2 linked regions of the Schizosaccharomyces pombe genome follow. The gene in region 2 interacts genetically with the main gene of each other region. Each region holds a gene or a part of one and is shown on either strand. Other genes may lie near its edges.

Region 1 (4,426 bases), 1.5 Mb from region 2:
TATGAGTATGAACAGAAGGATTATCCTGATCAGACGCATAAGAATCTACTATCCAATCGCTAGTAAGGGAGGGTGGAGGTGATTTGATAGACAAATCGCTGATAGAATAATTATTATCATTAGGAGGTATGTTATTTTCAGGATGCTCGGAATGAAGTGGAAACAAAACCTGCCTTGCCAGACACTTATTATCTGATAAGTGATTACTTATACCCAAGGATGGTATTACCACTGATTCAATTTTCCATAATTCTAACGTTATTTGAACCAAAGCCAAAGGTTGGTGAATTTCTTTACTTCGAACTTGGACGATACCAACCAACCTTGGAGCTGAAGTTGGTATCCCATTAAATCCAGCTTGGAAATCCAAATGTGGTAACGGACGTATCTCCAAAGGAGAAAATTGCCGTATTAGCGTACACGGGGATGTCATGCTCTTACATTTAGTGAGTTCCTCTGGCTTGGTGCTGGTTATGGGAAGTTGAATCTACCAAATGGTAGACAGGTTGGTTCAGTGCAGCAATGTCAGATCTAGATAGCTAAATAAAATCTTTTAAGCACTCGCTTAAACACTGCTAAGTGACTTTTTATAGCAATGAAATTAATAATATTTTATTATATAAAAATCTAATTTTAGGCCAAAAAATGTACTTTTGTTTCCATTCCATAGAATTAAAATCAAAAGCCTACAATTGATAGCCAAGCATCTAAAGCTAGTATCTGTTGTAAAAAAGTTCCATTTTGATTACAATAGTAAAAACTAAAATGACTTTAATAGCCTAATTTTGAAATTGGTATTTTCAACTTAAAATTCACTTACGAAAGCCTAAAATATGTTTATTCTTACAGCAGAAGGCTTTTTTTTTGAATTTTTGAATTTTTGAAACCATAACACACGATTGATCGCAACATACATATACGAAATATAGAAGAGAGACTGAATTCAAACGAAAACAATATAGCAAGATATCAGATTATTGAGCAGCAGAAGAAAGGGAAATAAAGCAAGTAAATACTATTTTACTAAAAATCAAACGAATCTCTAAAAGAACAGATATTTCACGCATAGTTAACAGACAATGCATAACAAAAAATTCAAAATCGAGAAAAACAAGAATCAAGAGCAACTGGTAATGCTAATTTTTGATAGTTATATGAGCCGTAGTATGATAAAAAACCCCGGCGATAATTGAGGAAATTCATTGCTGATGTACGACTCTTTTCTATCTAGGAAATAATGATTGTTTGAAGGATAACCTGAATATAGGGCTTTCTGTTCATTCAAAGATCCCTTCAGGAAGTGTTAAATGGTTTGTATAAAACTAACTCACATTTTCCGATTTATCTTTTCATTTTCAGGGCATATATCAGAACTTAAAACAATTTACTAGTAGCGATACGCTACCACTTACTTATTAAACGCTTAAAAGAGTAACACAGTGTACTGTCATGAATGTATATTTTATAAAAGCAATATGATATTTAATTTACATTAATATACTTGTAAGCTTCTCACGGCTAAAAGTAGTGATAGCCCACATTGAAGTAGGATTTTAGTGTAATGAAATCAAACACAGTAGGCCCTAAAGATAAACGGACACTTACATGTTAAGCAACATAATTTAAAATCTTACAAGCAAAGCTAGCGGCTCGAAAGCCAAACATTGTAATATAAACACAAAAAGTAGTTTGTTTACAGTAAATACCGCAATACTCGTATAACGAGGTATTTTCACAACGTAAGCAAGAACGCGCTCATCCTTCCAGGTTGTTGTGTGTCACAGCCTCTCGCGATTCACCCTTTACAATTCACTCGTGAATGATAGGAAAACGCAATGCGTCAAAAAGGACGCGTCAGGATGATTGTATTACATATGAAGAGTATCAAAGGAAACGTAAAAAGACATTTTTGAACACGTTTGTTAATATTTGTTCTCGTACAGTTACTTATGCAAAACTTTTTTTGACAAAAACTCCCATTTCTGAATTGGATCGCATCGCTGGCGAGGCGATACCATCTAATAGTAATAGTACAAATTCAAAACTAGAGCCTTCTACTAAAGCCCCTGAATCTCGGTTTTCTCACATAAATTCCAAGACTGAACGTGGTTACGTGACGGTCGAATCTGATATGTCTTCTCACAATACTCTTGACAGAAATAGTAAACCTACCGTTTCTCATTCATATACAAATTCTAGTAAGGATGAAAAATTTTTGGATCCCATTGCTCTTCAAAATCTATTTTCCCCTGCCTCTGACACGCATTCTCAAAACATCCATGACGAAGCATTATCTCCATCAAGCTTTCGTGTGTCTCGTTCGAGATACTTCCCCCGACCTCATCGGTCTTCCAAAAATTTATCTGTTAGTAATCGGTTACAGCTTGCGGTTTTTAAGGAAACAACTTCATCGACATTATCCCACGGTAATTCCGTTGAGGCTGACGAAATAAACTCTTTTAATCCTACACCTTTCTCTTCTTCTCCTCTGCACTTTACGAACTCCTCTCCAAATCCAAACTCTGACATTGTTACACCGGACAAGCAGCTAGATGTTGTTAGCGAACACGCCAGATATAAACACCTTCCTTTTACGGCTACGTTAAGAAAGAAAAGTCCTCATGATTCAACGTCTCGGAAAGCCTCTTTTAGGTTCGTTCAATCTGATCAGCAACCAGCGCGGAATATCGTTACTTCTGATATCCAAAATGAAAAATCATTACTGTTGCTAATTCGAGATTTGAAAGAAAAGCAAACAGAATCTTTTCAAGATTGGAACGAAGTTGACTTTTTACAATTAAAAGGTTTGGAAATATCTCCACCCCCCACTCGCCCCAAGTTCATTCCGGAACTTGAGTTTCCTGATAATGCTCGAAAGCGTGCACTGAAATATTTAAACCAAAGCAATTCTGTTTCCTCTTCTGAACCCATCATCACCAAATTTAATATTCCAATCACGCTTAAAGACTTGCATACTCTGCGGAATAGACAATGGTTAAATGACGAGGTAATTAATTTTTACATGAATTTGATTTCGGAACGCTCTAAAATTGATTCATCCTTACCTCGGGTACATGGGTTTAATACTTTTTTTTATACATCTTTGCAGCGCCGTGGATACGCGGGTGTTCGAAGATGGGCCAAAAAGGCACGCGTTAATATTGCAGATATGGATGCTGTATTTATACCAGTACATCTGGATGTCCACTGGTGTATGGCTGTTATTAACAAATCGAAGAAACGATTTGAATACTGGGACTCGCTGGCCGGAAGCCCTGGTAAAGTTTTTGATTTGTTGCGCGACTATTATATTGCAGAAACAAAAGGTGCCGTCGACGTGTCAGATTGGGAAAATTTTATGGATGACAATTCTCCAAGACAACGAAATGGACATGATTGTGGAGTTTTTGCTTGTAAAACTGCTGAATGTGTATCTAGAAATGTTCCTGTTCAGTTTAGTCAAAATGATATGCCTGAACTACGAATCAAAATGGCAGCTAGTATTATTGATGCACAAATCTATTAAATATGTGCTATAAACTTTTTGTCTATATACTTATCGTTTTTTATATTAATTTCTTTCTCGTTCAATACATTTTATTTCATATTCAGCGTTTTCAAAAAGGACATAATTTACTTAAATCTATATTAGAGCGTATGCATTTTTTAAGTAGCAGGGAATACTCTAATTAATAAATCTGAATCCAGGAATCTCAGCAAATATAGCTTTTGAAAAAAAAAATACCCGCATATCTTATAAACAAACTTAAGCGCTGAGCTGACGAGCGTCGAGCCCCATTGCATTTAAAAACAAATTAACATTGCTGATGCGCACAACAGCAATTTCAGAAGGTGCCCGTTTGCTAGTAATGATGTTATCAAGTACTCTGTCCCTATTTTTTACATATTTGTTAGTACAAAAACTCGACTAGACATATTTTAACGTACCTAGTTTCAGAAACCAATGTAAAATGTTGTTCAGAGCTAGCAGCAGTAGCACAAGCTGCTAAGAATTCCCATGGATAAGATTCATCAGCATAAGCTCGAGCGTTAGGTGGTGGGAATACCGTCGAGAAATGACCTTTTACGCGATTAAACATAACATTGAATGTATTTTCCCTAAATAGTTAGATGCTGTAAATACATGTATAACGTACCATTCTTCTTTTTCATTTTGATTTACAGTGCCAGATTGCTTTAAAATTTCTGCGCGACTAATGAATAGAGTAAGGAACGACAAACCAATCTTCGTCTGTATTAAATAAACAGCATTAGTGCGATTGAGAAGTTGAGAAAATAAGTTATTTATAGTTTCCAAATCAAGTTCATTAACAATAGTGAGCAATGGAGGGATGATGAACTGCGTGAAAGAACTCATTTCGGAAACAACGTCCAAAGGCAGCTCACCGTTAACGTCAAATGTTCC
Region 2 (6,619 bases):
AGCTTTACGGGCGCCTTGGTGAGAATTGGATTTCTACATTGCCTCAATCAGTACCATTTATTGCTGAACTAATGGAAGATGATGATGATCAGGTTGAAACTGCTACGGCTGAGCTCGTGCGGATAATAGATGACCGTCTCGGTGAGAATGAATCCCTCCAAGATTACCTTACATAAGGATTGTAGAGGTTGTGGGTCCGTTTTTCACAGGCTGAGTTTTAAACGGAATCTTTCGTTTTCTAAATTTTTCATTCTAAAAAAAATAATTATTGATTCGTTATGAATATATACGCTTTCGTCTAATCCCTGCCAAAAAAAAAGGAAAAGACGATCATGTTGATTGCAATCCATAATGGGTCTTCTCATCAATGACCTTTAGGGTTGTATTCATCAATTCTCAATTATCTTGGGATTATAAATAGTTTGGTTGGTTTCGGTTTCATAATACTATAAATTAAGAGAGAAATTTTTGCAGTTTACAAATGTTTGACAGCAGCAAAATAATTTTGAAGTTTAAACCAGTGTATTAAAACCCAGTAAATTTCATTGAAGTATCGAAATATTGTATATCTGAGCGACTTCGTAAAGTGCAATCATCCTACATAGCAGTAATCTAGTGGAACGGCATACGTCTTTAAATTTGCTTAAGTCAGTTTTTGTCTAGGAAATGGTGATTTGGCCAGTTTCTTGTCGGTCTTTTATATACAAGAGATAAAATTCTAATTCCATTTATCTATCGAATTGGTAAAAAAAAGCCTCGCTAAGGACTTGTTTAAGAGTTTGCCACTTCGATGTCATAAAAACGGTCAACACTTCTCAATTTAAAATTTGTTTGTACTACTAGTGCATCCTTTTAAACAGCAACGACAGTACTAATGAAGTTTGGATGTGTACAATTTTTTCCCAAGTTGGGAAAGGTGAACGAAAACATCGTTCATCTTCGCCAGCTTTTGGATCAACATTCTGAAGCATTACAGTCTGTTAAGCTATTGGTTTTCCCTGAAATGTGCTTAACTGGTGGGTGGTCTTTATTATTAAGAAGAGTTAGCTAACTTTCCTGTAGGCTACAATTTTAAAAATTCAGAAAGTATACAACCCTTTTTAGAAAACGTAACTAGCAATCATTGTCCAAGCATTCAATTTGCTCAAGAAGTCTCTGAGCAATATCGGTGCTACACCATCATTGGATTTCCTGAGTTTCAAAACTCAAACGGCATTTCTACTCTTTACAATAGTACAGCTCTCATTTCTCCCAAAAAAGAGTTGTTGAACGTTTACCACAAGCACTTTCTTTTTGAAACAGACAAATCATGGGCCACTGAAGGCAAGGGTTTCTCTTTTGAACCCTGTATTCCTGAACTGGGCCCTATTTCAATGGCAATTTGTATGGACATTAACCCGTATGATTTTAAAGCTCCTTTTGAGAAGTTTGAATATGCAAACTTCATTTTGCGTGAGCTAGAGCATCAACAAATGGTTTCTTCGAATGTATCACGACCAATTATTTGTTTAAGTATGGCATGGCTTGTGTCAGATGATAAAGTCATTGATGCTTCCCTGCCCGACATCAAAAATTTACATTACTGGACCACTAGACTTTCACCGTTAATAAATTCGAATACGGATGCAATCGTTCTTGTAGCAAATCGGTGGGGAAAGGAGAATGATTTAAATTTTTCCGGTACCTCTTGTATTATGGAACTTTCTCAAGGAAGAGCTATCTTACATGGTGTCTTGAAAGCTGCTGAGAATGGAATTGTAGTTGGAGAACTTGAAAAATAAAGATGTGCGACGTTTTTTATTTCTATTCATGAAAACATATTATATAATACATATTGGTTTTAATAAGCCTGTTAAATTTCTATTATCGTGATGACATTCCAAATAAAAATGACAACTCCTTTGTATTCAGACGTGAAATTTCTCTAAGCCCTTTTTCCCCTAAAGCGCTATCTATTAGTTCTCTCTTTCTGTCTTGTAAGGCTAAAACTCGCTCTTCAATCGTGTTATTAGTAACAATTCGTAAAATATTTACCGGTTTATCTTGTCCAATTCTATGTGCTCGATCGACAGCCTGTTCTTCGATATAAGGATTCCAAAATGGATCGAGTATGATGACATGATTTGCACAAGTCAAGTTTAACCCGACATTTCCTGCTTTTAAAGAGATCAGTAAAACTCTCACGTTCGGATCAACTTCAAAATTAATAAGAGCTTGATTTCTTTCCGCTGTGCTTAGACCACCAGTATACATAAGATATTTTATACCCTCTTGTCGAAAGGGTACCGTAAAAAGCTCAAGAAAAGAAACAAACTGTGAAAATATTAAAATTTTGTCAGTTGGCTGTTTCTTGATGATTTCTTTAACTGCATTTAATGCTTTTTCAATTTTTGTAGAAGTGGTCCAATGTTTAGGATCCGTAAAGATCTTCATACCCATTTGTCTATTCTCTAAGATATTACTATACTGTTTAGGTAGCAATTCGGAAATGTTTTCTGTTCTTAATTTGTTATCGGCATCGACAATAGGTGCCATTCCAGAATATCGTCTAAATAATGCGTAACTCAAAAGCCTTTCAGTATCGATGTACTCCTCGCAAACTGAGCACTTAGGAGAAATATTTTCGTTGCTTGTTTGCTTAGCCATATCCTCACTGGATGTAATAACATGGGTTAAGCACTCTCTACATAGAAAATGACCGCAAGGCACAATTATCAAAAGTTCTGCAACAACATCCATACATAAGGAGCATTGCAACGTTTCAATTAACTTAAGGCGATTGACAGCCTCGGGATATATTTGGTTGTAGATTGCACGATTCTTAGCTTGAAAGCTATCGTTATCATCAACCGCTGCTTCTCGAGCAACAATTAGCCAGGGATGACAACAAGCCTGTCGAAGTCTCAAAAGTAATACTAGTAGACTACCGTAATGCGTAGTTATAGTCCCTTCTTGAAGATATTTACGCATTTGAATTTGTGCTCCGCTTTGAAGCGTATTGTAAAATTCCATCTCAGAAGAAGAGAGGTCTGTTTCAGATTTGACGGCGGTTTTTGGAGGAAGTGTCAATATTGGCTTGCCATCAATCTTTGTATTTTTCGTTCTACGAAGTAGCACTGCTTTTAATAAGCCACGAAAGCGCTTCATAGGAGCGGACGTGTTTATATTGCTACTTAAAGGAATGGTAAAGTCCTTTGAAAAACTTGACCAGTCTGAATAAGGTTTAATCCTCAGAAATTTTATCAAGCTGTAGAACTCCTCAACCCCATTCTGCATAGGGGTACCACTCAAACACCAACGATAAGTTGATTCTAATAGACAGCATCCACGAGCAGCTAACGTATTCCTGTTTTTGATAGTTTGAGCTTCATCCAATATAACTCGATACCACTCTGCTTCAAAAAATGGAAGGTGTTCAAATTTTTTTATTGGAGCGTTATCTTCGATACTCTTGTCATAAGCCATTTTGTTTTTAAACTCGTAAGCGATGACATTATAAGTAGTCAAAACAATGTCATACGACATCAATTGTTCAGCAATTTTGTGCTTTTTCGAACTTCCGTGATGAATATAAACAGTGGGTCTATGTGAGGGAGCAATTTTAGTAAGTATTTCATTATGCCATTGCTGTAATAGCGACACAGGGGTGATAATCAGAGTTGTTTTAACTGATTTAGATTCTGGAGGCCTTGTTACTAGCAATGCAAGAGCCTGGACAGTTTTTCCTAGACCCATATCATCTGCCAAAATCCCTCCTTTCTTAGAGCTTTCTTCTAATCTTTTTAACCACATTAGTCCTTCCTTTTGGTGTTCCATTAATGTAGGTATTAGTCCAGCAGGTGTACCTTCGCGAATTGTTGGATCGTTGACAAGCTGCTCATCAAGATCTTTGAACAACTCCTCCAACTGTTGTTGCTGATCATCTTGAACTTTCTGGTTATTTGAGTCTGACAAATTGAATCCTTCAATATTGTGAAATCTATCGTGATACCATTGAAGGTGGAATAAGTGTTTACCAGGTTCGGGTAGCTTGGAATCATGCAACAAACCACCCGGAAGAATGACTGAATCCGAGCCATAACGCTTATTCTGAAAATTAATTTCGTTATCTTCTTCGTCTGATAAAGAGATCGGATTATTAGAAGTTCCTTTTCCTTGAAGAAACTTATCATCTTCTAAAGTGTGAGTTGTGTTAAACATCTTATAATTATTATGATGATGAAAAGGAGGAAGAGCTAAAGAATTGGTATAAGAAGGTCCAGCCGTAGATAAAACTGGTAACGAAGGTAACTCTAGTTTTTTCCTTTTCGAATTCATAAACGCAAGCTCTAAATTCCTTTTTTCCTTCATATTAACTTTATCATGGTCGTTCAGTGAAGATTTCGTCCGAACATTATTATCATCGGATTCAGAGTCAGATACGACAATCACAGCATTGTCGTTCCAAAACAAAGAGTCCTGTTTTTGTTCAAAAAGTGCATCAGATTGACTCGGACTAAGCTTATCTGTTGAAGAACTAATTTCGTTTTGCAAAGAGTGGCCATCAACATCAATAGTAATTGCATTGATGTTTGGACGATCAAGCCCAATTTTAGGAGCAATTAAAGTGGCATCCGTGTAAGTAGAATCATTATTTTCAACGGAAAGAGAACTGTTCAGCTTCTCTTCATTAGGCTTTAATGCAATCACACTATTGTCATTAGGAAAAAGGCCATTCACTTTTTCTATGTTAGATTCCATCGTATTTAAAGAGGACGATGAATCATGCATAAAGGCATTGAATAGCGCCTGTTTTCGATTAAGAAAAGCAATTCTCCTTTCCATTTCATGTCTGTTTATATCATTTTTTAACAATTGGTCAGACGATGCAGAAGAAGAATAGTCCGGGGTATTATTTTTATTGAACCCAATGTTATGTTTGTCATCTAAAGGTATTTGTTCACATGGATTTAACGTAAATTGTTCAAAAGCTGTATTATTTCTCATAAATTAGCAAAAAAATGCTTTGTGTTTAAAATGTAGTGTGTAATTTTAGGTAGGCAAACTGGTGTGGTGATACTCAGTCGCCCCAAAAGTTTAGAATAAGTACCAAATGTAAGTTAACAAGGGTAAATGTGTACATGAATTTGTGATCATTCGAAATGGAAGGAAAGAAATTAAATTTTTTAAATCATAAAAAATTCTTATTATAATAATTTCTGTTTTGGGAGAGTTTTATAAAAATGCTGATCAGTAAACCTGAAAGAAATCAAAGGGGTATTGAAGAGTCATCTGTATACATATTTTATAAAAACAGAACTGTGAAACTTTTAAATCCTTGAAAAATGTTAGTAGCGAGATGAAAATGGACGGAATAAATAAATAAATTGAGAGCATTTTTAACCCAGTTCTAATTTGTCATTGTAGTATTAAAAGCGATTTTAAAAATTTTTGATGTTTCTTGCTTAGTTTCCCAAGCAGCATTTTGCAAATTTTCTAATTAAACGTTTCAAATAGCTTAAGCATCGTCCGTGCAGTATCAAAGCAGCTGTAAATTGTTTTAATAAACAAATATTTTAATTAATGTTTTTATATGTTCTACTTTCTTCTAAAGTTGTTTCCCCCTAAATTCAACTAATCTATATGAATACTGTTACATACCCATGCATTTTAAGCTATATGGCTTTACTTAATACCTAAATTTCTTTTTTTTTTTTTTTTTTTTTTTTTTAAATTAAAAATATTCATTACCTTTTTCCTAATTACTTTGTCTTTAAAGTGCAATGCGTAGGTATTGATAGCAGAACCAAATTTCAAAACTATTATTATTTGTATTTCTAAATTTATAATGGTATCTTTCATTAAAAATTGATCAAGTAGTGTCGCTTGAATTCTCTTTAGCGGCTTACTATTCAATATTTATATGACTGAGTGTTGGCGCTTAACCTCTAATGTATTTAGCCAGGTGGATACAAAGACAAACAACTGTATGAAAAATGAAAGTTTATAGAATTAATGGAAACGGTGAAAGCAAAATTTAAGCTGTCTCTAAACCTACAAATTCGCATTTTTCTTTTGCCAGCACCATATGACGCATCCGTAGGATCTGCACATTTCAAGCAACGTAAATCATTTACCTCATTTTACTACTATGACTGAAGCGATGGAACCCTGCGCAGGAATCCAAAACTGCATAAGAAAAGAAATTCAAAAGACATAATTAATAACATGGTTGCACAAATAAAATTCAAAAAAATACTTATGTAAATGAAAAACCTTAAAAAAATCAATAATTTATAATTGCATAAATAGATTGCCTAACAATGTGCTGATAGATAAGTCAACTTACCTACGCTACAACATCGAAACCCCGTATTTGAACAATTCCTTTGTTTCCTTTGTCCTTGTGCTTATATTATTTCTCATTTTCTTATATTTTAATTGAGCTACATATAGAAAGTAATATCGAGGGAATTGCGTCAAATTTGAGTTAAAAATTGCATTTTGATTTTGAAGTTAGCATTTCGCTTTTTTTTTTTTTTGAGGTCTTTTATTTTAATATTTTCTTCTCTTTCTTTTTGCTCGTAGGTTTAAAGCGCAATTGCTGTTATTTTGATTGCAGTAGACTCTCGTGTTTACG

What was found. Genes that interact genetically often act in the same process or in processes that back each other up.
Region 1: of rrp2 (region 2) and ulp1, changing one suppresses a phenotype caused by changing the other (phenotypic suppression), as found in Schizosaccharomyces pombe (one study listed by BioGRID).

The regions. Positions count from the first base shown.
Region 1 is NC_003423.3:2,365,298-2,369,723, forward strand, and holds ulp1 (SUMO deconjugating enzyme Ulp1), read left to right. Parts: upstream 1-1,797; 5' UTR 1,798-1,819; coding exon 1,820-3,526; 3' UTR 3,527-3,766; coding exon of another isoform or gene 3,767-3,893; 3' UTR 3,894-3,896; downstream 3,897-4,426. Other genes in the region: arrestin-related substrate adaptor for RhoGEF, Art1, read right to left, coding at 1-433; pdc2 (topoisomerase II-associated deadenylation-dependent mRNA-decapping factor), read right to left, coding at 3,767-3,893, 3,949-4,119, 4,158-4,426.
Region 2 is NC_003423.3:3,838,004-3,844,622, reverse strand, and holds rrp2 (DNA translocase/ SUMO-targeted ubiquitin ligase E3), read right to left. Parts: upstream 5,055-6,619; 5' UTR 4,987-5,054; coding exon 1,864-4,986; 3' UTR 1,782-1,863; coding exon of another isoform or gene 1,063-1,781; 3' UTR 1,017-1,062; coding exon of another isoform or gene 875-1,016; 3' UTR 518-874; downstream 1-517. Other genes in the region: U3 snoRNP-associated protein Utp10, read left to right, coding at 1-176; protein N-terminal amidase nta1, read left to right, coding at 875-1,016, 1,063-1,781.